Linked DNA regions of Callithrix jacchus. The protein of the gene in region 1 interacts with the protein of each later gene in a pairwise test. Links are inferred from orthologs where the notes say so. Each region holds a gene or a part of one and is shown in the gene's direction. Other genes may lie near its edges.

Region 1 (4,106 bases):
TGTATGCTTTGTGTGTGCTCTTTCTCGTTATATAGACATTAAAGGCTGTTGATTAGTTTTCCTGATGACTGCCTTTATAATTTCAATAACATAATGAACCTCTGTAGCTCGATTTACCAACTCTAGGCAGTATTTATTCACTCCCAACTCCAAAACAACCTTTACGACCTATTATAGAAGACTGGAGGTGGAAACAAGCTGAGTTAACGATATTAAGGCATTTGAGGGTGAAGGTTGTGGGATATGTCTGGAAAAGTCTGGAGCATGAGGGTTTGTGGGCAAGCCTGGGCAAGCCTGTGGGCAAGAAAAGTAGTGAGGAAACAAAAAAGGTTGTGGGCCTGGTGGGGTGGCTCACACCTGTAACCTCAGCACTTTGAGAGGCATAGGCAGGCGGATCACCCGAGGTCAAGAGTTTGAGATCAGCCAAAAAATAAAAATAAGAAAATTAGGCCAGGCGCAGTGGCTCAAGCCTGTAATCCCAGCGCTTTGGGAGGCCGAGGTGGGTGGATCACGAGGTCAAGAGATCGAGACCATCCTGGTCAATATGGTGAAACCCCGTCTCTACTAAAAATACAAAAAATTAGATGGGCATGGTGGTGCGTGCCTGTAATCCCAGCTACTCAGGAGGCTGAGGCAGGAGAATTGCCTGAACCCAGGAGGCGGAGGTTGCGGTGAGCCGAGATCGCGCCATTGCACTCCAGCCTGGGTAACGAGCGAAAACTCTGTCTCAAAAAAAAAAGAAAGAAAAGAAAAGAAAATTTAAAAAATTAGCAGGGCTTGGTGTTGGGAGCCTGTAATCCCAGCTCGTCGGGAGGTTGAGGCAGAAGGATAGCTTCGACCCGGGAGGCAGAGGTTGTAGTGAGCCGAGATTGCACCACTGCACTCCAACCTGGGCAATAGAGCGAGACTCAGTGTCAAAAACAGAAAACATAAAAGCGCAATCCATTGATAAAAAGGATGCAGCAGGGCATGTTGGAAGCACACAGGGAATGGAAAGGAGCCTGGGCACCACCCATAGGGTGATGGCCATTCCAGCCAAAGGGGCAGGGGTGGCTGGAACGAGTCCAGGGGCGAGATGCTAGGAGGCCTTGTCCACTTGGCCTCCATTCCGAGTCCTTGCATCCCACCCCAAGAGGAGGAGCCAGAAGATTGTGGGGATGGAGGCCCCAAAGGGCCACCCCAACTTCAGTCAACAGTAAGCCCTGGTCGGTCCCTTAAGGGGAAGGAGAGGCGTGGCAGCAGGGGGTTGGCCCCACACAGTCCTTCACCGGCATGCGCATGCGCATGCGCACTGAGCTGACCAATCAGTGAGGAGCGTGGGAAGCCAGGCCGGGTCTCTTTCTAAGACAGTCTCGTAGTGCCAGTGTCTTCTGTAGGTTCTGTGAAGGAGCCACATCAGGGGTCCCTCAGGTGACGCACTTGAGGCAGGGAGGTGGGAAGGTGGGCACAAGACCGTCTGGGAACCAGGGTGTGAAGAGCTGGGCGCCAGCTGACCTGTGAGGAAATGGTCCTGGGGTCCTCACCTGGGGCCTAGGTCAGGGCGAGGCACTGAGGGTAGACTGGGGTGGCTGGAGCAGGGAGGGAGCTGGAGCCACCTGGGTGGCCCCCCAGGACGAGGGAGTGTTCTGGGTGCTTCTGTAGGTGTGCAAGGGGGAGGGGCTGACGGTGCCGGGGAGGGGAGTGAGGCGGGCCGGGGGCGTTATGGGGGACGGTCTGAGTGGGTCTCTCCTGCCCAGCATCCTGTCAGAACAGGACACTTCAGGTCACTGGAGGTGCCCTGTGCATCCAGGAGAGCGAGTGGCAGTGTAGCTCCTGACATTCCTCTGGAGATGGCTGGGGAGATCCTGTGTCACTCCGCCGCCCTCCCAGCCACTCAGGGTCTCTTGGGGATCCAAGGGCAAGGCCAAACTCTGTCCCAAAGGCGCGGGTAGGATGCCTCAGAGGCCGTGGAGTTCAGGTGTGTGAGGCAGCTGTGAACTCTGCAGCCACCCCCGGGGACGGGCTGGACGGGCCAGGACGGGAGGGGACACTGGCATCTTCTCCCTCCCTCCTGCTCCCACAGGAGACTCGGGGAGGGCCAACCCCACCCATCTTGAACCCGCGATCCCAATGGCTTTCCTTTCTGACGCCTCGTTTCCTTAGCTTCCTTAGTCGTCTTTGCGCTCACCAGGTTCCGGGGTCGCCTCTAGTTTCCCAGGACGGCCAGCCATGGAACGCAGGGGCAGAAAGCACAGCAGGAGGGCTGCCAAGGCCCACTTGGAAGCTCAAGGTATGGCTGCCCAGGACAAAGAGCATGCAGGTAAACACAGCCCAAGGGGACCCGGAAGCAGGCGCACGCCCAAGGAGACGTCTGTCTGATCTCTGCTGGGGATCACACTGGCAACCCAAGGTCCCCGGCCTCTTCATGGCTTTGGAGTCCACTGTGCACGTGCTAAGACATCCCGGTTTTCAAAGCAGGCTCGAGGGCCTTAGACTTCCCACGGGAGGCTCCACCTCAGGCAGGGTTACAGGTGCTCTCAGAGTAGCTCTTCTCCATGGCTGAGGTCCTGGCGTCCAAGGAGTCTGACCTGTAGTGTGTCGTTTACTGGGACTTGAACCCCAAGGGCTTCCAAAAGTGCCTCCATTAAATGGTCAGGAGCCGGTGATTCCACGTATAGCCCTGCTTTAAAGCTTTAGTTGGCAGACAGCCAAAAACAAGTCCACAAACGGTACGTTTCTCCATGAAAAATGTCCACAACAGCGTCTTCCTCTAAAAACGGATTTGTCTTTTAAATTTTGATGCAGGAAAGGATCCAGTAATTGATGAACGTGAGGAAAGAAACCCTTTTACAGAAACAAAGGAGGAAGATGTAACTGCTGAGCAGGGGGAAAGAGAACCTCTTGATGAAACAGATGAATATGAGGGGTAAAGTGTGAAGTCACTGTTGTCTGTCGGATAGAGCCTTTTAGGAAAAGTCAGCTTTGGATCATGTCATCACCGTTCTAGTCTATGCAGAACATTTCACATAAGACATTTTTTCCCAACAAACACGACATTTTGTGTAGTCCTATGTTAAAATTTTGATGTAACTTTTTTTTTTATAGGGTTGATACCAACAAGCCAGAAGATATTGCAGGTATGCCTTAGGAAGTATCTGTAGTTTATGAAAATTGTTTTCAACGGTACAACTGTTACAGTAGGTTATGTGAATTAGTGGATGACAGACTGTCTTACATGCCTTCTTCTCATATGTAGCATTTAACTTAAGTATTTACCATAATCTGTTTGATAAATTTTTCTTACCTTTGTGATCATTAATGTGTAATGTAAGAATGCTTCTAACAATGGTGAATCGAGAGGGATGGCTTTTCTTTCATACACATGGAAAGTTAATTGTTGGGGGATATTAGAGGACATTGGAGGAGAAACAGCTCTATTCAATCCTTTCAGTGTACACAGATTAAGTCATATATCAGTTTTTTTTTCAATCTTTTACTTTAGGTTTGAGGGTACATGTACAGGTTTGTTAGATACATTGCGTGTCACAGGGGTTTGGTGTACAGATTATTTTGTCACCCAGGATTATAAGCATAGTACCTGCTGGGTGGTTTTCATCCTCACTCTCCTCCTGCCTGCCACCCTCAAGTAGGCCCAGGTGTCTGTTGTTCTCCTCTTCCTGTCCCTATGTACTCAGAGTGTTTAATAGGAGTTTTTCATCTTTCTAATTCAGCTATTCTATTGTCACAGCTTTCTGATTTTGTTTAAAAAAATTGAATTCTCGAAAATGATTTTCTATTATTATTCCAGCAATAAACTGTGTAGTAGAAAAGGAAAGACAACTTTTCTACCCAGTGGGAAACATGTCATTGGATCCAAAAACTCATACATTTTGTATAGGCATGTTACATGTTAGTTGCACTGACTGTTATAGGACCGTATTTTCAAAAAAGTTTGAGAAAATTTCTGTAGAGATGATGGAGACAATACTCTTATTTTTAAAAAGCTCAATTCAGTTTTCAGCTTTTCTATAGCGATAATACACATAAGCAGAATATTTGGAAAGCTTTGCTCGCTTGGTGGTGACAAAGTGCTGGTTTTGTGAGTTGCCTAATACATTGAGTGTGTT
Region 2 (4,216 bases), on another chromosome or scaffold:
CCTGAGCTCAGGAGATCCTTCTGCCTCAGCCTCCTGAGTAGCGGGGGCTACAGGTACATGCTACTGTTAGCATGCCTGGTTAATTAAAAAAAAAAAAAGATTGTAGCGATGCGGGGGGCAGGGGTGGAGTGTCTCCTAATCTGCCCAGGCTGGTCTTGAACTCCTGACTTCAAACGATCCTCCCACCTCAGCCTCCCAAAGTGCTGGGACTATAGGCATGAGCCACCGTGCCAAACGTTTTAGAAGGGTGTTGGTTATATACCTTCCCAGTATGTGCACAGAATCATAATCTCCAGGGGAGGAATTAGGGAATCTCTTTGAAACAAACACTGTCCACTGAGTCTCAGGATCTGATGAGTTCCGAAACATAAATCAGGGTTAAGCAGCCACAATTAACACTTCAGAGTGCCATGCGGAAGCTGCCATGAGATGATGGATGTGAAAGTCAAGGGTCATTGACTACCCCTGCACTCATTCATTCAATATTTACTGCATGCTCCACCCTGTTAGGTGCTGGGGCCACAGACGGAATAAAAGAGACTCAGGCTGCCCTTAAAGGCTCCCCTAGTTGGCTCCTCGTCCTTGGTGTCATCTGTAAAATTAGGTGGGTGGGGCGGCGCCCAACGGAACTCCTCCTTAGGCAGCTGAGTGGCCATAAGGATGGGCACCGAAGCTGTCTGTCTGGTGGGCTCTGGCCCTGTGAGGTCAAGCAGTACAGGGTCCCCGCAAGCTGCCTGACCTCACAGGGCCCCACCCTGACTACCACCCAGGACCACATCCGTGATTCCTACCCAGTTCATCTCCTTTCAGGGCCAGATGAAAGAATCGCCCTATGAAGTGGATACTACCATTCCAATTTTACAGATAAGAAAACAAAGTGTCAGCAGAGAGAGGGGTCACACTTCACCCCACCCGCGAAAGGCGTCCAGGACCTGGTCCTACCTCCAGCTGCGGCAGAGGTGGCCAGATGTCTCCCAAGACCCGCGTAGCGAGTCGTACTCCGGGGGACTCGTGGTCTCTCTCTGTCGGTCTCAGGAGATTCCTAGGCAGTGGGAGCCGCCGCTGCCTCCCGTAGCCTAAGCCCCTCCCTCGGATCCGGCCTAGCCCGCCAGACTCCCACCCTGGGCGCTTCCACAGCCCGCCGCCCCAGGAACTACCATGCCCATGAGCCTTCGCTGCGTCGGTGCTTTAGGGGCGCTCCCCAGTGCCCCCCGCGGCCTCCAAAGAGAACTACGTTGCCCATCAGCCCGTGAGGCCCGAATAGTGGAAACCCTCTACCTCATTCTTCGCCCCCGAGACACATGCCCCCTACATGACGTCTTCAGCCGCGCGCCAGAAGTCCGCGGAGACGGCCATAGACACTGGCGGGTAGAGGGGACCGGACTTGCCCTCCTGCCCTGTACTTCCGCCGGAAGTGCCTTCTAGCCGCAAGCGCCCTTCATCCGCTGCGCGCTCCGGCTGCTTGTCCCGGTTCCCCGGTTCCCGGGGCGCGTGTATGGCCACAATGGCGGCCGCCACCCTGCTGCGTGCGACGACCCGTTTCAGCGGTGAGGGGTCGGGGAGGGTGATGGCGGCCCAGGAACACATTGGGGGCGTGGTAGGTGGCTGGGTTTGGTCTGAGCCTCGTCCTGCCTGACTCCAAGCTTGGGTCCCGGCAGGTCTCGCCGCCAGCCCGACTTTCCTGCTGCAGGGTCTGTTGCGGCCGCTGAAGGCCCCGGCATTGTCCCTCTTGTGCCGCAGCTTGGCCTTGGAGGCCAAGAAGACTTACGTGCGCGACAAGCCACACGTGAATGTGGGCACCATTGGCCATGTGGACCACGGCAAGACAACGCTGACTGCAGCCATCACGAAGAGTGAGTGGGGTGGGCGCGTCTAGCAACGCCCTATCAACTGCTGGAACGTCGAGCCAGGGAGGCGAGACCAGCAGAGTGGAGGAGGAGTTTACTGTGGCCCCCAAGTTTACTGCTGGAGGAGTTTACTGTGGCCCCCAAGTTTACTGCTGGAGGAGTTTACTGTGGCCCCAAGAGCCCGAACTTATGCGGCGGGTGAATTGGGAGATGCAGGAGACAGATTTCCCCTGATCAGGAAGAACTTTGTGATCCTCCAGCGGCTTCTCTCTAGCCGTAGGGAATGCTCTGCAAGCAGAGTCTGTACTCTTCTAAAGAAGTCATAGGGCCGACCCTTAAGGCTCTCTTAACATTTCTTTCTGACCCATAGTTCTCTCTGCTGGAAGAGTTAGAGATTGGAGGAGGTTGTGTCTTAGGTGGGGAGAGTTCAGGGGTGTGGTCTAAGCTCTGCTTCTAGCACTGGAATTTTAGCTGAGAGGTGTATTCTCTTCCTCCTTTAGTTCTAGCCGAGGGAGGTGGGGCTAAGTTCAAGAAGTACGAGGAGATTGACAATGCCCCGGAGGAGCGAGCCCGGGGTATCACCATCAATGCGGCCCATGTGGAGTATAGCACTGCCGCCCGCCACTACGCCCACACAGACTGCCCGGGTCATGCAGATTATGTTAAGGTGAGGGTTGCAGGGGACACTGGAGACAGGGCCAGAAGCTGCCTCATTTCAGGATAAATCTTAGGCTTGTGGGGAGGGGGTTAAGATATTCAGTGTTTGGATATAAGATGGTAGGTTTGTGGGCATGGCCACTCAGAATGGGTGGTGGTGAGATGGCCAAGAAAGGGGGCCTCAATTTCTAAGTGCTACACTTGGCTGCATGGATGTGGACTGAAGAACTCGTTGAACCTGGTTGTTTCCTCTCCTCCTACCCAGAATATGATCACAGGCACCGCACCTCTTGATGGCTGCATCCTGGTGGTAGCAGCCAATGATGGCCCCATGCCCCAGACTCGAGAGCACTTACTGCTGGCCAGACAGGTACTCCAACCCTGAGTAGGGGTGCAAAGGGGGAGAATGGGTAGTTGGGCCCCTCCAGACACTGTCCCTGTCTCTCTGCCATCTACAGATTGGGGTGGAGCATGTGGTGGTGTATGTGAACAAGGCTGACGCTGTCCAGGACTCTGAGATGGTGGAGCTGGTGGAGCTGGAGATCCGGGAACTGCTCACTGAGTTTGGCTATAAAGGACAGGAGACCCCAGTCATCGTAGGCTCTGCTCTCTGTGCCCTTGAGGTGAAGGCCGGGTCAGGCAGAGTGGCTGCTGCAGAGAGTCAGGCTAGATGGTCAACCAGAGCTCTGCTCTGTGTCTGGGAAGTGGTTTTTGGTAATTGAGAGGAGCGGAATACGAATTTCAGAGTCCTGTCACTTCCCCTCAACAGGGTCGGGACCCTGAGTTAGGCCTGAAGTCTGTGCAGAAGCTTCTGGATGCTGTGGACACTTACATCCCCGTGCCCACCCGGGACCTGGAGAAGCCTTTCCTGATGCCCGTAGAGTCGGTGTTCTCCATCCCTGGTGAGGACTGTGCCTGCTCCTACACACTCTCTATAGCAGCAGCGTAGCTCTGGGTCCCTGATATCCTGTCCTGTTACTTCCCAGGCCGTGGCACTGTGGTGACAGGTACGCTAGAGCGTGGCATTTTAAAGAAGGGAGATGACTGTGAGCTCCTGGGACATAGCAAGAATATCCGCACTGTGGTGACAGGTACGGGAGGCCAGCCTGGGGAGCAGGGGCTGGCTGCAGGGTGGCCTTACCCCTGGCAGATCCCTTGTGCCTTCCCTCTGCCTCACACTCGCTTCCCTTCTCCCTTTTCCTTTTCCCCTTCCCTTCTAGGCATTGAGATGTTCCACAAGAACCTGGAGCGGGCCGAGGCCGGAGATAACCTCGGGGCCCTGGTCCGAGGCTTGAAGAGGGAGGATGTACGGCGGGGCCTGGTCATGGTCAAGCCGGGTTCCATCCAGGCGTGCCCCAAGGTGGAGGCCCAGGTGAGGGCTCCAGGTGATGGTGGGCAGGGCTGAGCCAAGCTGTCCCCAGCATTCCAGTCAAGCCCAGCTCACCCTCATTGCTCTCTTCTCCAGGTTTACATCCTCAGCAAGGAGGAAGGTGGCCGCCACAAGCCCTTTGTGTCCCACTACATGCCTATCATGTTCTCCATGACGTGGGACATGGCCTGTCGGGTTATCCTGCCCCCAGGGAAGGTATGGTGGGTGGGAGGAATGTAGGGTGGAGGGGGGACTTTTTATATCACCTTTGCTTCACTTAGTTCCAAAGACAGACTGTGACAATCCAAGTGGCTTTATTTCCTTGGGTGGAAAGGGGCTGCTT
Region 3 (4,108 bases), on another chromosome or scaffold:
TCAGACACGCACGTCAGCTGTAAGAGGGCAGGGGCCATGGCAGCCCTGCTCACCGGTTGAACCCTTGCGCTAGCAATGCCTGACATGTATTTCTGTGCTCAATTATTTGGGCCGGGACCTGAGGTCACAGTGGTGAAGAAGACACTACACTCAACAGGCTCCAATTCAAACCTATGCCAAAATGTGCTCCTGCCACAGTGCTCCCTGAGTACACGGCTCTTTACCGAGGCCTTTCTGATACCTCAGAAAGCTGTGCTGTAGTCCACGTCACCTCAGCTCCCTCTTGAACTCAGACCCCAAATCCTACCACTTTCCAAGATCCTGGTAAAAGTTAAGTTGGACCCCTTACTTTTCCAAGGGCCTCCCCGCTCTAAAGGAGTGAATTCTGAGGTCCCCAAGGCACTCCCTGTTCTGGCCCCTAACCATCTCCTGCCACTCTCCTCTCAGCTGCTGTCCCCTTGGTCCAGCCGGCCTCCTGAGGGCCACGTTCCCGGGTTCTAATTACTTTCTACCTGGTCTCGATGATTCCGCCCTTACGCGCTCCCACGCCCTCCCAGCTGGCAGCTGCAGGGATCCTTTTAAAACTGTCCGGGACTCCTTAGCTCAAAGCCTTCCACGACTTCCCATTTTTTTCAGAGAAAAAAATCCATCAGGACCTAGCCCCGGGCTGCCTGTCAGACCTCAGCGAGCACACCCGGCTCTGGACGCCTTCTCTCGGAGCAGTCCCGGAGAGGCAGTTGCCGCGGGCTCCGGACCCTCCTCAGGGCAGCTCCCCCAGCCCCGCCCACAGGAAGGCGCTTCTCCCCATTACCCCGCGGCGCAGCGAGCCCGGCCTCGCCGCATCGCCCGCGCTGCTGCTCTCTGCTCCTCCACGGGCCGCCTAGCTACTGGTGCAGGACGCCTTCGCTAGTCCGCTTGGCCGTCCCCCGACGACTCTGTGCTGCAGGAAAGTCCACGGCACCACGCCCGGCCCTGGCACAGCGCAGGCGCTTAACACACAGCACCGAGCGATGAGGCTCGGACTCAAAGAGCTTTGCTTGCCCATTCGCAGCGCCCTGGACCTCAAAATCCCGTCCCGCGATCACGGTTCGCAGGCTCCTGAGTGGGACGCCTCCGCCCAGCCCGCGTCGGGCCTCGCACTCGGCGCGGGGGTGGGAGAAGGGGGGGCAGGGTCCGAGCGCCAGCGCATGCGCAGGGCGCGCGCGCGAGGCATCACGGGGTTCGTAGTCTCCCGAAGAGGCCGCTCCCGGCCGCGCGACCGCGCCTCCCCACACTACAACTCCCACGGGGCAGCGGGCGCGGCTCCTCGCACCCACCGGCTGGCCGGGTAAGACAGCCACTTCGCGGTCGGGCCCGCCGGCTGCCGCCCGCGCAATGAGCGGGAAGATGGCGGACGTGGTCGTGGGCAAAGACAAGTGCGGGGAGCAGCGGCTCGTCTCGCTGCCCTTGTCACGCATCCGGGTCATCATGAAGAGCTCCCCAGAGGTGTCCAGCATCAACCAGGAGGCGCTGGTGCTCACGGCCAAGGCCACGGTGAGGGGGCGGGGGTGGGGCCGCCTTTGCTCGTTGCGCCCCGCCCCGCCAGGCTCCCGGCACTGTCCAGTCCCCTTAGACCCGAGCGCCTCCCGCTGCCCTTACCGGGCTCGCGCGCGCCCCCCCTCTCCCTCCCACGCCCCCCCTCTCCCTCCCACGCCGGCGCGCGCCGGAGTGGCAGCGCGCCCCTACCCGCGGCACCCCCTCCCTTTCTCGCGCGTCTTCGCCCCGCCCACCCCGCGCCGCTCCCTCCCTGTCTCTAGTTTCTTCGTCCCATACACCGCGACCCGCTCCCGCCCTTTCTCGCTCTTTTCGCTCCTCCTTTCCTCGCGCACCTTCGGCCCCGTCCACCCCGTCGCGCTCCCGCCCTCCATCGCGTGTTTCCGTCCCGCAAACCCATAAGCTCCCAAGTTCCCTTGCGCGCCTTTTGTTCCGCCCACCTGTATGCTCCCGTAGTCCCTCGCGCACCGCGCTCAGCTTCCGGCCCTACCCGTAGACTTCGGCGCCAAGTGGAGTTGGCCTCATTTGGTTTCTTTGGCGGCTCTTTCACCCGCGACTCCCTATTCCTGGCCTTCCTTTTTCTTGCCGTTGGTCTGCTTCTTTCTTTGAGGGTCCTAACTCCTCCAGTGTTCCGTGGGAGGGGCAGCCGGGCGCTCCACCCAAGGCTCGAGGCTTTTCTCCCGCGGGTCAGGCGCCAGCTCCAGCGCTCCCAGGCTTTCGAGCCCCCCGCTCCGCACCACACCTGGCACCTCCTCTAAGAGAAAGCACATCCCCCAGCCAGAATTTAAGGAAGTCTAGGGGACCTAGATTTATAGCCTCTTAAGCATCCTCCTGGGTACAAAATAGATTTTGTCTTTTTAAAAAACATTGCGTGTTGATAGTGTTAGGCTAGATGTTTTTCTGTTCTGAGACTGGGCCATGTTTTAGCTACACAGTTAAAGGCTTTAACTTGTCTTAGATCCTATTTCCCAGTCCCGGCTTGTATTTAAGTACATAATGTCCCTACAGTGTTCGACCAGAACTAAGGGAAATGGGAAATTACAGATTTCTCGCCTGCTGTATTATACCAGAGCCATGTTTTCCTAGAGCCCAGGGAAGTAATTACATATTCAGCATTTCACCTGGGGACATTTGTGTTTTCCTGTACAATTTCATTTTATTACTTTTAGGGAATGAGGATTTATGCAGGCACTTAAGATTTCTAATTAATTTTTTTGATACGGAGTCTCACTCTGTTCCCCAGGCTGGAGTGCAGTGCAGATCTTGCTCACTGCAACCTCAGCCTCCCTACTCGCTGGGATTACAGCCACCCGCCATGACACTCGGCTGATTTTTGTATTTTTTTTTTGGTAGAGACAGGGTTTCACGATGTTGCCCAAATTGGTCTTGAACACCTGACCTCAGGTGATCCGTCTGTCTTGGCCTCCCAAAATGCTGGGATTACAGGCTTGAGCCACCATGCCCATCCTCATCCCTTATTAACTGAACTAGATGCATTGAAATCAAAACCTTGAGGAAGAGGCTTAGTTTATCCTCTGTAAAAATGAAGACCTGGCCCTGCTTTAAGAACTGTGGTTGGGGAGGGGAAGATGTCCGGTTGTTGCATTAGGTCTGAGGATTGTCAGTTCTAGAAAAGTCAGCAGAATAGGAGGTGTGGTCACTATCGTTATAGGTGAACCACCTTAGAAACAGTGTATGCAAATAGAAGACAAAATGTATTCCTGAGCCAAACAGAATTTTTGAATGGCTTTTTGCTTCTTTTACTCTAGAGGTTGCTCATTGAACAGTTATGATTCGTATTTTTCATAAGTTAGACATCTAAGACTCTGGAAAATGCCTGCTTCTCCGCCAATTTTGATACCAGCCTTGCTTGCTTTCTGACCTCATGTTTTTCCTTTCCCCAGTGATATATTTATTTATTTGTTTTTAAGACGGAGTCTCACTCTTTTGCACAGGTTAGAGTGCTGCAACTTCCAACCTCCACGTCCCAAGTTCAAGTGATTCTCCTTCCTCAGCCTCCCAAGTGGCTGGGATTACAGGCACCTGCCACCATGCCCAACTAATTTTTGAATTTTTAGTAGAGATGGGGTTTCACCATGTTGGCCAGTCTGGTCTCAAACTCCTGATCTCAAGTGATCCGCCTGGCTCAGCTTCCCAAGGTGTTGGTATTACTGGGTGTGAGCCACCATGTCTGGCCTCCCCAGTGATTTCTTGTAATTTAATTTGAGAAACCAAGATAATCTGAAGTCTTAATGTAATTTTAAGCCTGTTATAAGCTTATCAACAGCATAATTTTAAAAATTGAGCTCTGGGGTAAATTTTCAAAGCACATCTTTCATTTTACTTTTTCTTTTTTTTTTTTAGGAGCTCTTTGTTCAATATCTAGCTACCTATTCCTACAGACATGGCAGTGGAAAGGAAAAGAAAGTACTGACTTACAGTGATTTAGCAAACACTGCAGAGGAATCAGAAACTTTTCAGTTTCTTACAGGTACTTAGTCTTTGAAACATTCTGGTTGAAAAATGAATAGTCAGCAATAGCTACTCCCATACCCCTTGCCTCCCTTCTGCTTTG
Region 4 (3,500 bases), on another chromosome or scaffold:
ATCTTAAGGAATAGGTTGGGTGGATTTGAGTACATTTATTTGGATTTTGTTACTTTTTGGAGTGAATCAACTGGACAGTTAAAAATATAAAATTTATTGAATTTGTCTTCCATGTGAAAAGTCATATGTATTCATTCATTACAGAAACATCAGAGAAATAGAAGGAGTTAAAAAAAAATCATTCTTAATTCCCTTACTGAAGGCAAGCACTGTTAAAAATTGCTTTGGTGGGCTGGGCGCGGTGGCTCACGCCTGTAATCCCAGCACTTTGGGAGGCCGAGGCGGGTGGATCACGAGGTCAAGAGATAGAGACCATCCTGGTCAACATGGTGAAACCCCGTCTCTACTAAAAATACAAAAATTAGCTGGGCATGGTGGCGCGTGCCTGTAATCCCAGCTACTCAGGAGGCTGAGGCAGGAGAATTGCCTGAACCCAGGAGGCGGAGGTTGCAGTGAGCTGAGATCGCGCTATTGCACTCCAGCCTGGGTAACAAGAGCGAAACTCTGTCTCGGAAAAAAAAAAAAAAAATGCTTTGGTGTCTTTCTTTGCAGGCTTTTCTTTTTTTCATATCTTTTCATGTCTTGGTTTTATATCATTGTAAAAAATGTTTTATTATGGTAAGCATTGTCTATACTATTATATGTTCTTAATTTTTAATGTCTGAATCATATTCACTGAGTGAACATAATGTCAGTAGTTAATTTTTCTTCTATTAATGCACTATTTTTGGTGACTATAGTTAATGTTTTGAACATAAGGCTTAAGTTTTCAAATTATTTCCTTGGTCGTAGAAATGCTGGATTGGGCCAGGCAAGGTGGTTCACACCTGTAATCCCAGCACTTTGGGAGGCTGAGGCAGCTGGATCAATTCAGCTCAGGAGTTTGAGCAGAAGTTTGAGACCACCCTCGCCAAAATGGTGAAACTCTGTCTCTGCTAAAAATACCAAAAGATTAGCCGGACATGGTGGCGGGTGCCTGTAATCCCAACTACTTGGGAGGTAGATACAGCAGAATCACTTGAACTCGGGAGGTGGAGATTACAGTGAGCCAAGACTATGCATTGCACTCCAGCCTGGGCAATAAGAGCAAAACTCTGTCTCAAAAAAAAAAAAAAAAAAGGAATGCTGGATTGAAGAGCATGAACATTTCTTAGGGTTTTTTGTTTGTTTGTGTTTGTTTTTGTTTTTGAGACGGAGTCTCACTCTGTCGCAAACTGGTCTCAAACTCTTGACCTCAGTTGATCCACCCGCCTCAGCCTCCCAAAGTGCTCAGATTATAGGCATGAGCCGCCACACCTGGCCTCATATTTTTTAAACATATTTTATAAAAATATGTATAAAACATATTTTTATGTTGTAAGTAAAAAAACATTTTTTTTGAGACAGGGTATCACTCTGTCACCCAAGCCAAAGTGCAGTGGCACATCCAGTATTTCTTGTAGAGACAGTTTCATCACGTTGCCTGGGCTGGTCTTGAACTCCTGACCTCAAGTGATCCGCTTGCCTCGGCCTTCCAAAGTGCTGGGATTACAGGTGTGAGCCATTGTACACAGCCTGTACTGTAACTTATTTGGGGATTCTTTTTCTCCTTTAGGTATAGTCTGGATAATAATGTTCTCACCCTGGAACAGAGAAAATTTTATGAAGAAAATGGGTATCTTGTAATTAAAAATCTGGTATCTGATGCTGATATTCAACGGTTTCGGTCAGTAACACTATTTGTTATTTTACAAAAGTATGTATTGTGTGCACGTAATGAGAATACGTGGTGGATTCACTCCTGCATGTACAGATTTTTTTAATTATTTGGTTTGTTGGGAAATATTTAAAAGCATGGGCTCAGGTGCCAAACTGGCCTTTTTATTTTTTATAGAGAAAGGGTCTTGCTCTGTTGTGTAGGCTGGAGTGCAGTGGTGCGATCATAGCTCACTGCAGCCTTGAATTCCTGGGCTCAAGCAATCATCCTGCCTTAGCCTCCTGACTAGCTGGGACCACATGTGTTCACCACCACACTTGGCTAATTTTTAATTTGTTTTTAGAGATGGGGGTCTCACTATGCTGCCCAGGCTGGTCTTGAATTCCTGGCCTCACCCTCCTGAGTTGCTGGGATTACAGTTGGGAGCCACCACACCCAGGCTTCAGTGTCAGCTCTGCCACTTAATACCATGTGTCCTGGGGCAGTTTACTCAACATCCCATGCCTCCGATTTCTCATCTGTAAAATGGGGATAGTAATAGTACTTGTCAGGCATGGTGGTTCACACCTGTAATCCCAGCACTTTGAGAGACTGAGGTGGGTGAATCGTTTGAGGTCAGGGGTTCAAGACAAGCCTGGCTAACATAGTGAAATACCATCTCTACTAAAAATTTAACTCCTTTCCACATCCAGCTCTAAGAGTAATAGTTCCTAGGCTCAAGTGATCCACCTGCCTAGGCCTCCCAGGGTGCTGGGATTACACGAGTAAGTAATTAAAAAAAAAAAAGTTAGCCGGGAGTGGTGGCAGGTGCCTGTAATCCCAGCTACTGGGAGGCTGAGGCAGGAGAATTGCTTGAACCTGGGAGGCAGAGGTTACAGTGAGTCCAGATCGCACCACTGCACTCCAGCCTGGGCAACTGAGCAAGACTCCATCTCAAGATAATAATAATAATAGTACCTATGTCCTACTGTTGTTAGGACCAAATAAGGTGAAATATACAGAAAGCACTTTGAATAGAGCCCATGGTAAGTGCTACAGAAGTGTTTGCTATTATTATTACAATGTAACCAAATCATAACATTTCCCTACTAGTATGCTAAGCTAAGGAATGATTTAATTCTGGTAGTGGATTCTAACCTGACAATTTCTCCTTGCTTTCACTGGAATTATTCTCCCTCGAGCTGGAGGTCAACTGAGTGCAGAGACACTACCCCTCAAGTCTGCAAAGCTTTCTGAAGAGGAGGGCTGGGCAGGTGCTTCAAGCTAGTGGTAACAACAACATTTGCAAGTTTAATTTTCTAGGAATGAGTTTGAAAAAATCTGCAGAAAGGAGGTGAAACCATTAGGATTAACGGTAATGAGAGACGTGGCCATTTTGAAATCAGAATATGCTCACAGTGAGAAGACGGTCACAAAGGTCCAGGATTTCCAGGAAGATAAGGAGCTCTTCAGATACTGCACTCTCCCCGAGGTCAGAGACCGCTCTTGCTTTGCTTCCGCTTCACTGCCAGTGCGTATGCCTGCCTGTAAAACCCGCTGATCTGGCCCGGCGCAGTGGCTCACCTGTGTAATCCCAGCACCCTGGGAGGCCTAGGCAGGTGGATCACTTGAGCCTAGGAACCATATCAGTCTTAGAGCTGGATGTGGGAGTAAAGTTAGCAGATTTTATTTTATTTTCCTTTGTTTTGTGGAGATGGCATCCCACTCTGTTGCCCACACTGGAGTGCAGTGGAGATGGCATCCCACTCTGTTGCCCACACTGGAGTGCAGTGGAGATGGCATCCCACTCTGTTGCCCACACTGG
Region 5 (4,280 bases), on another chromosome or scaffold:
CTGAGAAGCATTTAACATAATTTAAAAATCAACAATAAATTTGCCCAAATATTTAATAACATATTAATTTAAACAAGGGTTAGAAAGCATGTTAGTACTTTTTTGAAACAAAAATCAATTCTCCCATTTACTAGCTTCATAGCCACTGTTGACGAACCTATTAGTTTTTGTTTTTCAGCCTTCCCTTTGAAAGAAGCTTAGTAAAAATCAATGAAGTAATATCCAGGATCTCAGTCTCATTAACATCTTCCGGATCACAAATTTCAATTATTCTCTGCCTGAGTTATCACAATGCAAACTGGAGAATGAAGGGTAAACACAAGCAAATGAGATAAAATCTATTAAAAGATCGAGAGACACCAGACACAAATGGGCTAAAAGAAGAAAAAGAAGAATTCAAAGTTATACGTTTTGGTTACACACCGAGAGGTTAGGAAGAACAAAACGAATTGAGATTACCTGTTATAGAAATAGGCGGTTTCTGGGAGCTGTCCAATGTCCTGAGTGAACCATCACAGCCACAACTTACCCCTTCATAGGGACTGATGTCCTCAGCGGTTCTCTTTTGAACCGGAATGTTTCTACATTCATCTTTTTAGGCTGCTTCTTCTACTCTACCTTAAAAATTATCTTCTAATCTGTCACTTTTACCCAATGGGTCTTTTAAGTAAATCTTTACACAGTACTGTGTAATTAAGTAAATATAATTATTGGCAAACAAGGAAAAAAAAGAACCCGTTTGTTAAAATATTAGGGATACTAGAGATAATATAAAATCAGGAAAATCTTATTTTTCTTATGCCAAATTTAAAATTTATCTCAAAAAATAATGACCTAATGATAGCCAAAAGTCTTCCTTATATATAATGCAATAAATAATTGTTTCTGCTCTTAAATCTTAATGTAGGACAACACAAATCAATGAGGAAAATACGCCAGATGGAAGTGTTAGGTTTTTTCTTTGTTCAGAAACAAATACTCGCTCCGCAACTTAAAAGTCGGAGGACTTCTCAGCAGAGGACTCCTTGGCTTATCAAGGGCAAACCGCATTTCTGAAAGGAGCTTGAAGTGGTTTTGTTTGTGGGGAGAGTTTGCAAAATGTCCTGAGCTTAAATTTCTCATTTTATTGCCATTATAACTTTTCCTCTTGGAATAAAATCCTCTATTTTACATGACTAGGAGGTAAAGTAAGGAAAGGAAAGTCAAGTATCTCAATTGTTAAGCTGATTGCCTCCAAACAGACTTTCGAAGTCAGGGTTTGTAACGTGGCAGGAGAGCTGTTTGCGATGCCCTGGAAAGAAAAAGAAAGCCGGTTCCAACAGCGACTCTAGGGAATGCACTCTCGGCCCCCCTGCCATGCTTACTTAAGCTAATGGAAGGTCTTGCCTTTCAGCAGCCGCTGCACTGGGATACCAGACAAACAGCTACCCTCGATCCCAGGCAGGCAGGGCCCCTCTTCAGGACATCATTAAAAGCGCATGCACTTGCTCCACATCCATTGGCAGATGGTGGCAAGATTCAAGACTCCTACCCTGAAGTCAAGGAGAAGCCATCGCGCTGGAAAACATCCTCGCTTTGAAAATCCAAAACGAAATTAAAGAACTACACGAGATAAGGAGCCTAGAGAACATTAGTTGGCTGCAGGGGTGAGGAGAGACACAAAAAGCACAGCAGGTAAGAGCTGGGGGTTTTTGCCAAGAAGGAACTGTCCCGGGTGGCGCAGAGAAAAGGATCTCAGAACTGGAGTCCTGTCCCTTTGAGTCTTCCATGCGTGCTCAAGCTTGTCATCTTCCATAAGCTTCGAGAGGAGGGATGTTGTCAGAGCATTCCTTATCGCTGCGACTAATCCTGTTATCAGCTTGGTGATAAATATTTAATGTTCCCTGGCCCTTCGGTGATGATGCCCCATCAGATTCAAGGCTGTTAAGAATCCCCACCAGCAGCCTCGCTCCTCCCTGCGGAAAACCGATGAGAGGCAGGGCCAAGCCGAAGCGATGGCGGCCTATCCGGAGAGCTGCGTGGACGCCACGGTGCTGGGCTTCGTTGCAGACCTGTCCCTGGCCTCCCCGAGACGCCCTCTCCTCTGCGACTTCGCACCTGGGGCCTCCTTCAGGGACCCAGCCCTTGCGCTCCGAGAGGGAAGACCCAGGAGGATGGAGCGGTTTGAGGAGGGGGGCCCAGAAGAAGAGGACCAGGGGGACGGGGAAGAGGAGGAGGAAGAGGAGCGCGGGAGAGGCACCTCCCTATTAGGCCGCCCCAAGAGGAAAAGAGTGATCACCTACGCCCAGCGCCAGGCCGCCAACATCCGCGAGAGGAAGCGGATGTTCAACCTCAACGAGGCCTTTGACCAGCTGCGGAGGAAGGTGCCCACGTTTGCTTACGAGAAAAGGCTGTCCCGGATCGAGACCCTCCGCCTGGCCATTGTCTACATCTCCTTCATGACCGAGCTCTTGGAGAGCTGCGAGAAGAAGGAAAGCGGCTGAGCCGGGTGGGGAGAGTGCCCCCTCCTCGTCTGGGCGCGCTCGGGCTGGGGTGTGTCGGGACCGGGCGCGGGGTGCGGCCGGAGGGCAAGGAGGGACGCCCCAAGACAGAACGTCTGGCCTTCTGGAGCTCGGGTTAGGGATTGTAAGATCCCCAAGACCCCCGAGCAGAGTGGCTGCTGTAGAGTTCTTACCTACGCGACTACCCGTCCTAAGTGGAGTCGGTGTCAGGGGAGAGCCGGGAAGTCAGAGCGCTTGAGGATAAGGGGCCGTCCAGGCTGCTTCTGTGGGTTGGGTGGGTGGGAAGCAAACCCTCCTCGGAAATGGCAGACTTTGGAGCGTCTATAGAATCTAATCTCTCCTCTTTACCCTTTTTTTTTTCATAGAAATAATAATGTAGAAATTCTTACTTTTTAAAAAGCTTCAAGAGTCGGTGCCACGCCATCCCCGGCAGGCGCTCCAGCGGGCGCCTGCGTGGAGGATCTGGAGCAGACGCCCCGAGGGGCTCAGGATCATCTCTCTGGTCCTCCGAGGCGTGTCCAGGAACTGAGAGAAGGGAAAATGGAAGGCAGAGCAGTCGAGGGGAACTGCTGACAAAGTGCGACCTCTGCGAAGGGACATCCTTCCTGTCTTCCTTTGCCTCTTCCTCCCCTACCTTTCTCTCTCCCCTGCGCCAGCCCTCTCTTTCTTTCTCTCTCTCTCTTTCCACCTAGTTGATCCCAGAGGGACCATAGCTCCCTGTCCCAGGGCCACAGTGGTGTGGAGTCAGTGTCTTAGCCAGAGTGCCATTCTACGCTTTGCATCTTAAGTGCAGCGTCAGCTTCCGGTTCCAGTGCCTTCAGGCCCCAGCCAGAGTAAGGGACGAGTGCACTTGGGTCACTTCTGGGCCTGCAGCGGGCCTTGGGCGCCCTATGGCTTAGCCGACAGCCGGCGCTACCAACTCTGTGAAGGGGCTTGGATCTTTCTAGGAGCAGTGCCGCCTGAGCGCGCACTTTGACATTTTTAGCACTAGGGAGGAAAGATGTCTTTCACTCTTATGGCTTCTAGAGACTACCAGGAGAGACAAAAAGTCTAAAGAGGAGACGCGTTCAGACGCCTTGCAAAACGGCTGCCACGCAGAAGTTGAAGCGGGTCCATGCTGAGAGGCTGCCTCCAGTTTGGACCCCACTCTATTCCAGGAATCTCCCTTCTAGGTGATGTGCCAGAACTGGGGTCTTTTAGAAAGGAGGGAGTACCTGAGGAGAGGAACCTGATTGAATAATTCCCCCCAAACGTAAATTTAGTAATCCTAAAGGATAATCCCCAGTGATTATTCCAACACTTTATTTTGCCCCTCTTTATGCACAGGAATAGGCAGGCGCCTGTGAGAACACCTAATTCACTTAATCATGCTTTCAGAAATAGAATTCATTTCATTAATAGGTAATATATACTTCTAGAAAGTCTGGAAAACAAAAGTTCAAAAAAGAAAAAAACCGAATCACCCCACATTACCATATTGTTAGCATTTTCATCTATTTCTTTCCAGTCTTTTTCCCCCCTATGCAGTTATAAATTCAATATATTTAACTAATTCAACATACTTTGGGATACTGATATTTTTTCACTTGACATTCTAGAAGGTGCAATTGTTTTCCCTTAACTTGAAATATTATTCAAATGTGGTTTTGATTACCATATCTTATTGTCATATCCATGTATCACAACATCAGCCCTTTACAGATAGCTATTTCCTTTTTTAAAAAAATAAATGATGCTGCTAAGAGCATTCTTGTAAATGTCTTCTCTGTCTATTACTAT
Region 6 (4,100 bases), on another chromosome or scaffold:
GTAATTATATAATGAGAATTTCATAAATGCCAAAAAAAATCCAAAATTGGAAACATTTCTGGTCCCAAGCATTTTGGCTTAGGATCAGCTTGTTTTAAACTTGTTCATGAAAATTTACTGTAATTGCTTTTCATTCTATTTTTTAGGGGAGGGGTGTCAATTTTCCTGGATTTTCTATGTTAGATAACCATCTCATCTGAAAACAAAAAGTTTTATTTTCTCATTCCCAATCTACCTTGTGATTATTTTTAAACGTCCATTTTCATCAGCCTAACTACATATAACCTTACTGAGAGCAAAGTTTTCTTTTTTTATTTTTAATTTTTTATTGCATTTTAGGTTTTGGGGTACATGTGAAAGTTTTCATCTTTAGTTGTCACCTCTTTTACCCTCAGATTTTTTTTATTAGTTTTGCCAGATATGATTGTGGCACTAATTTAGCTATAAACTGCTTGTAAATGCTATTTTGTCAAGCACTCTACAGTATTCCACGGTAACTATGATTATTCTTGGGTAAACTGTGCCTCAGTCTGTCTGTAATGCGATGTTGTATTTATTTTATAGACTGATGTGAAGACCAAATAAGACTATACACTAAGTTCGTAGAGCTATGGCTGGCACATCATCAGCCCTCAAGAAATCATCGTTATGTTTTTGTATTAGGAAACAGTAATTACTTTTGCGCAGCACCACACAGAACTCTCAACAGCGAAGGAATATCAGCTCAGGCGGACAAAGATTAGTAACTTCCCCTTCGACCCCCCACATTTCAAACAGAAAAATAAGGCAGGAGTTGAGAAGGGGTAGTGAGTGAGAGGAACATTTGTGAGCCTATGGTGGAGAGGTACAGCAAGAGGAGAGTGAGGTTAGGACAGCAGTGGTGGAAGTCGAAGGCATCCCAAGAGGGAGCATGGGCTCCCGAGACCTGTTTGAATTGTAGGCGACCAGAACCAAGCGACCGTGAGCTGCTATACACACGGTAGTGAGTGGGTGGAAAGGGGCCAGCGGGCACGAACTGCCAGAAGAGCGGAGAAGACGCGGAGCATAACCGCGGGGCAGCGGCCAGTTGGCACAGCGGGCCACCTGCACGGCCCTACATTGCCAGATACCGGTAGCTGCAGGAACTACCCACGCCCAGGTCCCTTTACTCCCGCCGCCCGGTTACCTAGGGAACCGGATCACCTGACCCGGGGCCGTGCGCCTGCGCGGGCGGAAGGCGGGGGCGGTGCCGTGACGCGCCTCGGGGGCGGTCCTCCGGCTCTCGCCGCTCTGCTACCCTTGGGCCTCAGAAGTCCGTGCCAGTGACCGGAGGAGGCGGCGGCCGTGAGTGAGTCCTTGTGGGCTAGGTGAGAGGCCGAAAGGGGGCAAGAGGGACGCCGGTGCCGGGTCCCGGGCGCGGGGACGTGGGGCAGAGGCGTGATGGTCCCCGGGCCTTTTAACCGAGAGCGTCCTGGTCGCAGCCGTTTTCGGGAGGCGGCGGCGACGCCCTCTCCTCAGGGGCTCCGCGCCCCTCCCTGCGCCGTGCTGGCTGCGGGGCAAATTTGCGGGAGCAGCGCGCTCTGCTCCCCGGGACCCCGCGGGTTTCGAGCTCCTCTCCGGGCTGGGGCTGGGGCTGGGGTGGGTAGAGCCCCGAGGCACGGCCGGGTGAACGCCGGCAACCGCGGCCCCAGCTCTGGGATTCTTCCTGGGACCGTCTCTCGATCCTCGTTGTTCTCGCTCGCTAAGATCTCGAGACAAGTAAAGAAAGAGCCTCTGGCCGCGGTTTCTCCCCGCGTTTCTTGGGCTGCGCTTCCTTTTGGGTTATTTGGAACGTCCTGTCTCCCCGCGTTTCTTGGGCTGTGCTTCCTTTTGGGTTATTAGGAACGTCCTGGATTTGAAAGCAGGAAGGAGGTGTTTAGTGGGCGAAACCTTGACTTGTTTGGAAGCGGGTGGGGAGAGGTTGTTCGCCCTGAGCTTTTTCCTGGTGCTGTTGGACCTGAAGGAGAAACGTTTCCCGCAGAGTATGTTTAGAAGGAAATACTCCTGAGATCTGATGACTCACAGCTTTCCTTTCAGGATTTCCTTGTAATGATGGGAAAGGGAAGGCATATGGATGCGGAAAGTTTTTACTTTGATCAAAGTGGGATTATTGAGTCATGGAGGCTTCGAATGTGCACATTTTTGAAAGGAGTTTCTAGGATCATCTATTCTATATAACCGCATACACATTTACGGTTATTTTTTCCATTACGTACTTTCCTTAGAAAGTACACTCGGTTTACCGAGCTCTAACATCCGCTTGTTTAGTCTCTCCATTATAAACGAAATTGAACTTCAGAGACATTTTTAGTTTTGGGCATTATAGGAAAAGATGTAAAAGTCATAAAAGGGGAAGAATTTGCTAATGGTTGCCAGTTAAATGTACTGTTTAATTAAACAGTTTCTTAAAATGTGCGTGGCACAACTATTTTCCCTGTTGCCAGATTTGGGTCCTTTTTATAGGTATTAAATGCCAAGAGATTATAAAAAAGGAAAGCTCCCCAAACAACTTTAAAATACTTTCTACACTTAGTAATAGTTACGTTCACATTGATTAATTTTCTTTCAAGTGCTGCCAACATCTTTTGTAAATATTGTCTTCGAGTAGGTAAACGGTCACGTGTCTCAAAATTTAAGCAGCATACAAAGGTATATAGTATGAAGTCTCCTTCCTTTTGGCAGGCAGCCAACTGTTTTAAATTTCTTGGGTATTCATCCGGGAATATCCTATCTACACAGGCAAACATACAAACTGCATCTGTCTCCTTTCTTTTAACATAAACGTTAACATTTTATATACTGCTCCACATTTTGCTCTTATTTTTCCAGTTATTGATAATATTTTGGAACTTTCTAATATCAGCATATATAGCTTTCAGGTCTTTGGCTGTTACAGTCAGTGCTGCAGTGAATGAACTTTTACATATGTTGCTTCCTTTGTGCACATGTGTTTGTACAGTTCAGGTCTTGAAATGATACTGCAGAGTTGAAGGGTATTTGAATTTAGAATTTTAGTAAGCTACTGCAAACTCATTCTCCATGGGAATTGTACTAGTTTACGCTCCCACTAGTAGTGTATGAGTGTTTCTCAAAGCCTTGCTGTCGGAGAGTATTGTCAAACTTTGGATTTTTGCCAGTTCAGTAGCTGAGAAATGGAATCCTAGGGGTAAGAATTAATTATTCTACTTAGAGTGGACTTTATATGGACATACTTCTTAATGCCTGATCTTCAGAAACTCCCAGGATATTTATTAAAAAGCAGAGTACCTAAGTCCTTCCATGAAATTTGTATCTGTTCAGGAAGCTGAGGTTTTTTGTTTTTTGTTTTTTGTTTTTTTTGAGAGGAGTCTTGCTCCGTTGCCAGGTTGGAGTGCAGTGGCGCAATCTCGGCTCACTGTAACCTCCGTCTCCTGGGTTCAAGCGATTCTTCCGCCTCAGCCTCCCGAGTAGCTGGGACCACAGATGCATGCCACCACGCCCGGCTAATTTTTTTGTATTTTTAGTAGAGACAGGGTTTCACGATGGCCAGGATGGGCTCGATCTCTTGACCTTGTGATCCGCCTGCCTCAGCCTTCGAAGTGCTGGGATTACAGGCGTGAGCCACCGCTCCCGGCCCAGGAAGCTGTTTTTATAATAACTAGAGCCTCTGGTAATTTGGCTCTGATGAATAGCCATATTGAGAACATTGCTCTGGAAGGCTGCTTAGGATATATAAAATTGTGTTTCTAGACTCCATGTATGAGCTATCTGGAATGCTTACCATCTGGGGGACATGTTATTTTTTCATTTTTTTACTTTTTATTTTTTTTGAGATGGAATTTTGCTGTGTTGCTCAGGCTGGTCTCAAACTCCTGGGTTAAAGCAATCCTCCTACCTCGGCCTCCCAAAGTGCTAGGATTACAGGCATGAGCCATGGTTCCTGGCCTGATACTTTATTTTTATTTTTTACATTTTTCATTCATTTTATGAATAGTTCGCATAAGTGAAAATAAAGAGATAATGCAACACAACTTTACTAGAAATTTTAATAACTGCTTCAACAAAAGAAACACAAATTAGTATTCCAGATTTTCCTGGTTTTG
Region 7 (4,183 bases), on another chromosome or scaffold:
TTCAGATTCAGGTAGGAAGGCAGGAGGCAGCTGCAGGGAACAGGCACCAGCTTCACTCCTCTGCCTGGGGGCCTCATCTGTTTCCTCCTTTTCTGCTCCTCCCCCCACCCAGGATGATTACCTTGACCTCTTTGGGGACCCCAGTGTGACTGGCAAAGTTGGCACTGACATCCAGGACAACAAATGCAGCTGGCTCGTGGTCCAGTGTCTGCAACGGTCCACTCCGGAACAGCGCCAGATCCTGAAGGTGCTTGAGAGCGGGCGGGTGGTGGGTCCCTGAGCTGGTGAGAAAGGGCCAGAGCAGTGGTTCCCAACTGGAGGCAGTTTTGTCCGAGGGGACATTTGGCAATGTCAGCAGACGTTTTTTGTCATCGTCATCACAACTCCGTGTGTGGTACAGGCATCTAGTTGGCAGGAGCCAAAGATGTCGCCAAACATGTAACACACAGAACAGCTCCCCAGACAGGATTATCTGGTCCCAAATTTCAATTGTGCCAAGGTTGAAAAACCCTGGAGTAGAGGATGCTGGGGTCTGAGCCAATATGTGGGGAATATTTGGGATGGTGAAGGGAAGCTTGTGATCTTAGCTATCTAGAGACACTTGAAAATTGGAGGCAAGAAGGGAGTGGGTGGCTTTGGAGATGTTCTGGAATATGTGAATGAAGGGAATTGGTTGGGGGTGAGTGTCCTGGAGGCTCTGGGGAAGGCCAAGCCCAGCTTCCTGTCTCCAATCCCTTCCAGGAAAATTACGGGCAGAAGGAGGCTGAGAAGGTGGCCAGAGTGAAGGCATTATATGAGGAGCTGGATCTGCCGGCTGTGTTCTCGAAGTATGAGGAAGACAGTTACAACCACATTATGGCTCTGATTGAACAGTACGCAGCGCCCCTGCCCCCAGCTATCTTTCTGGGGCTTGCGCGCAAAATCTACAAGCGGAAAAAGTGACCTAGAGACTGCAAGGGCGGAGAGGAGGCTCTCAATAAATAAATTATTGTGTAATCTTGTGTTCTGTTAATGCTTGGCCCAGCCGGAGTCTGGTTCTCTGAATGCTCGGGGTGGGCTGCTGGGAGGACTCGGTGCACGGAAGCAGAACCCAGGGGCCTTGGCATCCGCGCCCCTTGGGGTCAAAAGCTTGGGATATAGCCAACCCTCTGGGCGAGTGAAACCAGACGCTAAGCGCTAGGGGCGGGGCTGAGCTACGCCACGCCCATGCGCGAAGGGGTGCAGCTGCGCGGCGAAGAGTGGGTTGTCCTAGTGCCCCTCCCCTCCTGCTCTGTTCCCCGCCGGGCGGGGACCGTGGGAGCCGCGGACAAGCCCAAGGCCGGAGCGGTTCCAGGAGGACCCTGGTGAGGAGGGCTCGGCCCATGGGTGTAGACCGATAGACCAGGGCACGCTGGGCGGGGCTGGACAAATGAATAGAGAAAGGGTGCGGTGGTGGCTGAATGATGGAGACGAATGCGGAGAGAATGATGGACACACGGCTGTTCCAAGGGGCGAGGGCGCAGGCTGGAGCCCAGCCGAGGCAGCCGGAGGATGCGGAGTTGAGAAGCTGACGGCTGCTGCATCCTTTTCTCCTCCAGCCGCCACCCCTTTTCTGCATTTACCAGGCAAACTCTGCGTATTGCCCCACCCCCATCCCCTGCCTCCTTTCAGGGCATCTGGGTGGGTCTTCTTGGGTCCCTTAATCTAGGAGTAAGGGGTAGGCTGGAGGGCAGGGTCAGATTGCGGCAGCAGGGACCCAGCAGTCCATTCAGGGCCCCGACCTCTTCCAGGCCCCCGCCCCCCTTCGGAGATCCAGAGCGCAGCCGCGTTCTCTGACCCTCCCCGCTCCATTCCCGGGGGGTTACATTCGACTCCACCTGCAAACACTGCAGTGGAAACTAATGGCCAGTCGATTGCGATTTGCATCTCATTGAAATATCTTCCAAAGCAGTCAGAGCCTTCAGGCCTGCTGCTGCCGCCGGTCACCTCGGTGTCCTTCCGGCAGCTCGTCCTCAGTGGCTGGGCTTCGCCACCCCTGTCTTCTAGGTCTACACCTGTGGTTGCCAGGTAGGTGGATGTGAGAGACCCAATCCTCCTGGTTCTCTAGAGGCCATCCCATCGCCGCCGGCACAATGCTGTCCCCTCAGAGAGCTCTACTCTGCAACCTCAACCACATCCACCTCCAGCACGTCTCCCTGGGCCTGCACTTGTCCCGCCGTCCTGAGCTACGGGAGGGGCCCTTGAGCACACCCCCTCTCCCAGGAGACACTGGGGGCAAGGAGAGCAGGGGTCCCTGCAGTGGCACCTTGGTGGACGCCAATTCCAACAGCCCAGCTGTGCCCTGCCGGTGCTGCCAAGAGAACGGTCCAGGCCTAGAAAACCGGCAAGACCCGTCACAGGAGGAAGAGGGGGCTGCCTCTCCCTCAGACCCAGGCTGCTCCTCCTCGCTCAGCTCCTGCTCAGATCTTAGCCCAGATGAGTCCCCTGTCTCTGTCTACTTGCGGGACCTCCCTGGTGATGAGGATGCCCACCCTCAGCCCAGTATCATCCCCCTGGAGCAGGGCTCCCCACTGGCTTCAGCAGGCCCTGGCACCTGCTCACCGGACAGCTTCTGCTGCTCTCCTGATTCCTGCTCCGGATCTGCTTCTTCACCCGACCCTGGCCTGGATTCGAACTGCAATGCCCTGACCACCTGCCAGGACCTCCCTTCCCCAGGCTTGGAGGAAGAAGACGAGAGCGCGGAGCAGGATCTCCCTACCTCGGAGCTCTTAGAGGTGGATGATGGAAAAATCGACGCTGGGAAAACGGAGCCCAGTTGGAAGATTAACCCCATTTGGAAAATTGACACAGAGAAAACTAAAGCTGACTGTAAAATCACTGAAAACAATAACACTGGTTGGAAAAACAACGGGAATGTTAACTCTAGCTGGAAAAGTGAACCTGAAAAAATCGACTCTGGTTGGAAAAACAACACAATAACTGATTCTGGCTCGAAAACAGATGCAGGGAAAATTGATGGAGGATGGAGAAGTGACGTCAGCGAGGAGCCGGTGCCCCACCGGACAATCACGTCCTTCCACGAGCTGGCCCAGAAGCGCAAGCGGGGCCCAGGGCTGCCCCTCGTCCCGCAGGCCAAGAAAGATCGCAGTGACTGGCTCATAGTCTTCTCGCCCGACACTGAGCTGCCCCCGTCGGGGTCGCTGGGCGGCTCCTCTGGACCTCCTCGGGAAGTCACCACCTTCAAGGAACTCCGGTCCCGAAGCCGAGCCCCACCCCCGCCAGTCCCGCCTCGAGACCCCCCAGCTGGCTGGGCTTTGGTCCCGCCCCGGCCCCCACCCCCACCTGTCCCTCCCCGAAGAAAGAAGAACCGACCAGGACTGCAGCCCATAGCGGAAGGGCAGTCCGAGGAGAGCCGGGCTGTCAGCCCCGCGGCTGGTGAGGAGGCCCCAGCCGCGAAGGAGCAGAAGGAGCCGGGCGCGCAGGCCGGCCTGGAGGGTAAGAGGTTGTCAGAAGCGGGAGGAGGGCTGGGCTTCGGCCGCTCACGCCTCCTAGCCTTCCAACCCCGCCCCCTGTCTTCCCTCCATTCTGTGTCTCCCATCCTCCCCGGCCCTTCTACCAGGGAGCGCTCCGGGAAAGGGAAACTGGTCATTGGGTTACGGGACTAACTCTTTGCTCCCTCTTTTTCCCGCCCCTCCTTGCCTGGCTGCCCATCCCGCTGCCCTCCTTCCCTCTGCGCCTGGCCCCGCCAATCCTGCCTGCAGCCGGTCCCCTCCTGCTCCCTCGGCCCCTGGTTTTCCGGTTCTCGGCCGACGGGCGCCCCCTGTTGGAGGGTGGGGGCGCGGGCGCAGCTGGGTCTCTGCTCCTGGCGCCTCTGGCCGGGTGGCCCGGCGCCGGGCTGCGGCTGCTGGGGGCGCCGACCCCCCCAGAGGAACAGCTGCTGCCGGTCCGCCTGTCCCCAGTGGGAGCCTATTCGCCTCCGACTCGGGGAGCCTTGCCCTGCCTGGCCAGCCCCGAGCTGGCACTGCTGCTGTCCCCGCTCTTTCCCAGAAGTAGCACCTTCCCCGCCGCGGCTCCCCCACCCCGCCAGGTACCCGCCCCCCCGCTGCCACCGCAACCTCGTCCGCCGAAGGCCCCTCGCTGGACCAGGAGCCCATCGCCTCAGCCCAGGCTACGTAAGACGGACCCGGGCAAGCCCCGCGGGCCA

Evidence for each region.
Region 2: the proteins of FAM9B (region 1) and TUFM interact in binary tests that used the Homo sapiens proteins (3 or more experiments, as listed by UniProt). The two-hybrid records come from large-scale screens. The link is inferred for Callithrix jacchus from reciprocal best matches to the Homo sapiens genes FAM9B and TUFM.
Region 3: the proteins of FAM9B (region 1) and CHRAC1 interact in binary tests that used the Homo sapiens proteins (3 or more experiments, as listed by UniProt). The two-hybrid records come from large-scale screens. The link is inferred for Callithrix jacchus from reciprocal best matches to the Homo sapiens genes FAM9B and CHRAC1.
Region 4: the proteins of FAM9B (region 1) and PHYH interact in binary tests that used the Homo sapiens proteins (3 or more experiments, as listed by UniProt). The two-hybrid records come from large-scale screens. The link is inferred for Callithrix jacchus from reciprocal best matches to the Homo sapiens genes FAM9B and PHYH.
Region 5: the proteins of FAM9B (region 1) and FERD3L interact in binary tests that used the Homo sapiens proteins (3 or more experiments, as listed by UniProt). The two-hybrid records come from large-scale screens. The link is inferred for Callithrix jacchus from reciprocal best matches to the Homo sapiens genes FAM9B and FERD3L.
Region 6: the proteins of FAM9B (region 1) and SDCBP interact in binary tests that used the Homo sapiens proteins (3 or more experiments, as listed by UniProt). The two-hybrid records come from large-scale screens. The link is inferred for Callithrix jacchus from reciprocal best matches to the Homo sapiens genes FAM9B and SDCBP.
Region 7: the proteins of FAM9B (region 1) and RUSC1 interact in binary tests that used the Homo sapiens proteins (3 or more experiments, as listed by UniProt). The two-hybrid records come from large-scale screens. The link is inferred for Callithrix jacchus from reciprocal best matches to the Homo sapiens genes FAM9B and RUSC1.

Annotation. Positions count from the first base shown.
Region 1 is NC_133524.1:9,247,216-9,251,321, reverse strand, and holds the start of FAM9B (protein FAM9B), read left to right. Parts: upstream 1-1,306; 5' UTR 1,307-1,410; intron 1,411-2,142; 5' UTR 2,143-2,208; coding exon 2,209-2,299; intron 2,300-2,784; coding exon 2,785-2,905; intron 2,906-3,084; coding exon 3,085-3,116; intron 3,117-4,106. UniProt on the Homo sapiens protein: May play a role in meiosis.
Region 2 is NC_133513.1:29,105,866-29,110,081, forward strand, and holds the start of TUFM (elongation factor Tu, mitochondrial), read left to right. Parts: upstream 1-1,416; 5' UTR 1,417-1,495; coding exon 1,496-1,547; intron 1,548-1,658; coding exon 1,659-1,853; intron 1,854-2,347; coding exon 2,348-2,514; intron 2,515-2,769; coding exon 2,770-2,874; intron 2,875-2,962; coding exon 2,963-3,127; intron 3,128-3,273; coding exon 3,274-3,406; intron 3,407-3,490; coding exon 3,491-3,595; intron 3,596-3,724; coding exon 3,725-3,876; intron 3,877-3,969; coding exon 3,970-4,089; intron 4,090-4,216. UniProt on the Homo sapiens protein: GTP hydrolase that promotes the GTP-dependent binding of aminoacyl-tRNA to the A-site of ribosomes during protein biosynthesis. Also plays a role in the regulation of autophagy and innate immunity.
Region 3 is NC_133517.1:57,028,427-57,032,534, reverse strand, and holds the start of CHRAC1 (chromatin accessibility complex protein 1), read left to right. Parts: upstream 1-1,308; 5' UTR 1,309-1,374; coding exon 1,375-1,533; intron 1,534-1,973; exon of another isoform or gene 1,974-2,289; intron 2,290-3,897; coding exon 3,898-4,024; intron 4,025-4,108. UniProt on the Homo sapiens protein: Forms a complex with DNA polymerase epsilon subunit POLE3 and binds naked DNA, which is then incorporated into chromatin, aided by the nucleosome remodeling activity of ISWI/SNF2H and ACF1.
Region 4 is NC_133508.1:14,325,849-14,329,348, reverse strand, and holds part of PHYH (phytanoyl-CoA dioxygenase, peroxisomal), read left to right. Parts: intron 1-1,594; coding exon 1,595-1,705; intron 1,706-2,998; coding exon 2,999-3,167; intron 3,168-3,500. UniProt on the Homo sapiens protein: Catalyzes the 2-hydroxylation of not only racemic phytanoyl-CoA and the isomers of 3-methylhexadecanoyl-CoA, but also a variety of other mono-branched 3-methylacyl-CoA esters (with a chain length of at least seven carbon atoms) and straight-chain acyl-CoA esters (with a chain length longer than four carbon atoms).
Region 5 is NC_133512.1:39,274,513-39,278,792, forward strand, and holds the start of FERD3L (fer3-like protein), read left to right. Parts: upstream 1-1,480; 5' UTR 1,481-1,994; coding exon 1,995-2,483; 3' UTR 2,484-4,280. UniProt on the Homo sapiens protein: Transcription factor that binds to the E-box and functions as inhibitor of transcription. DNA binding requires dimerization with an E protein. Inhibits transcription activation by ASCL1/MASH1 by sequestering E proteins.
Region 6 is NC_133517.1:14,796,746-14,800,845, forward strand, and holds the start of SDCBP (syntenin-1), read left to right. Parts: upstream 1-1,300; 5' UTR 1,301-1,327; exon of another isoform or gene 1,328-1,346; intron 1,347-4,100. UniProt on the Homo sapiens protein: Multifunctional adapter protein involved in diverse array of functions including trafficking of transmembrane proteins, neuro and immunomodulation, exosome biogenesis, and tumorigenesis.
Region 7 is NC_133519.1:15,748,535-15,752,717, forward strand, and holds the start of RUSC1 (AP-4 complex accessory subunit RUSC1), read left to right. Parts: upstream 1-1,383; intron 1,384-1,385; coding exon of another isoform or gene 1,386-1,905; exon of another isoform or gene 1,906-1,984; 5' UTR 1,985-2,111; coding exon 2,112-3,474; intron 3,475-3,740; coding exon 3,741-4,151; exon of another isoform or gene 4,152-4,183. Other genes in the region: FDPS (farnesyl pyrophosphate synthase), read left to right, coding at 1-11, 113-247, 742-942. UniProt on the Homo sapiens protein: Associates with the adapter-like complex 4 (AP-4) and may therefore play a role in vesicular trafficking of proteins at the trans-Golgi network. Signaling adapter which plays a role in neuronal differentiation.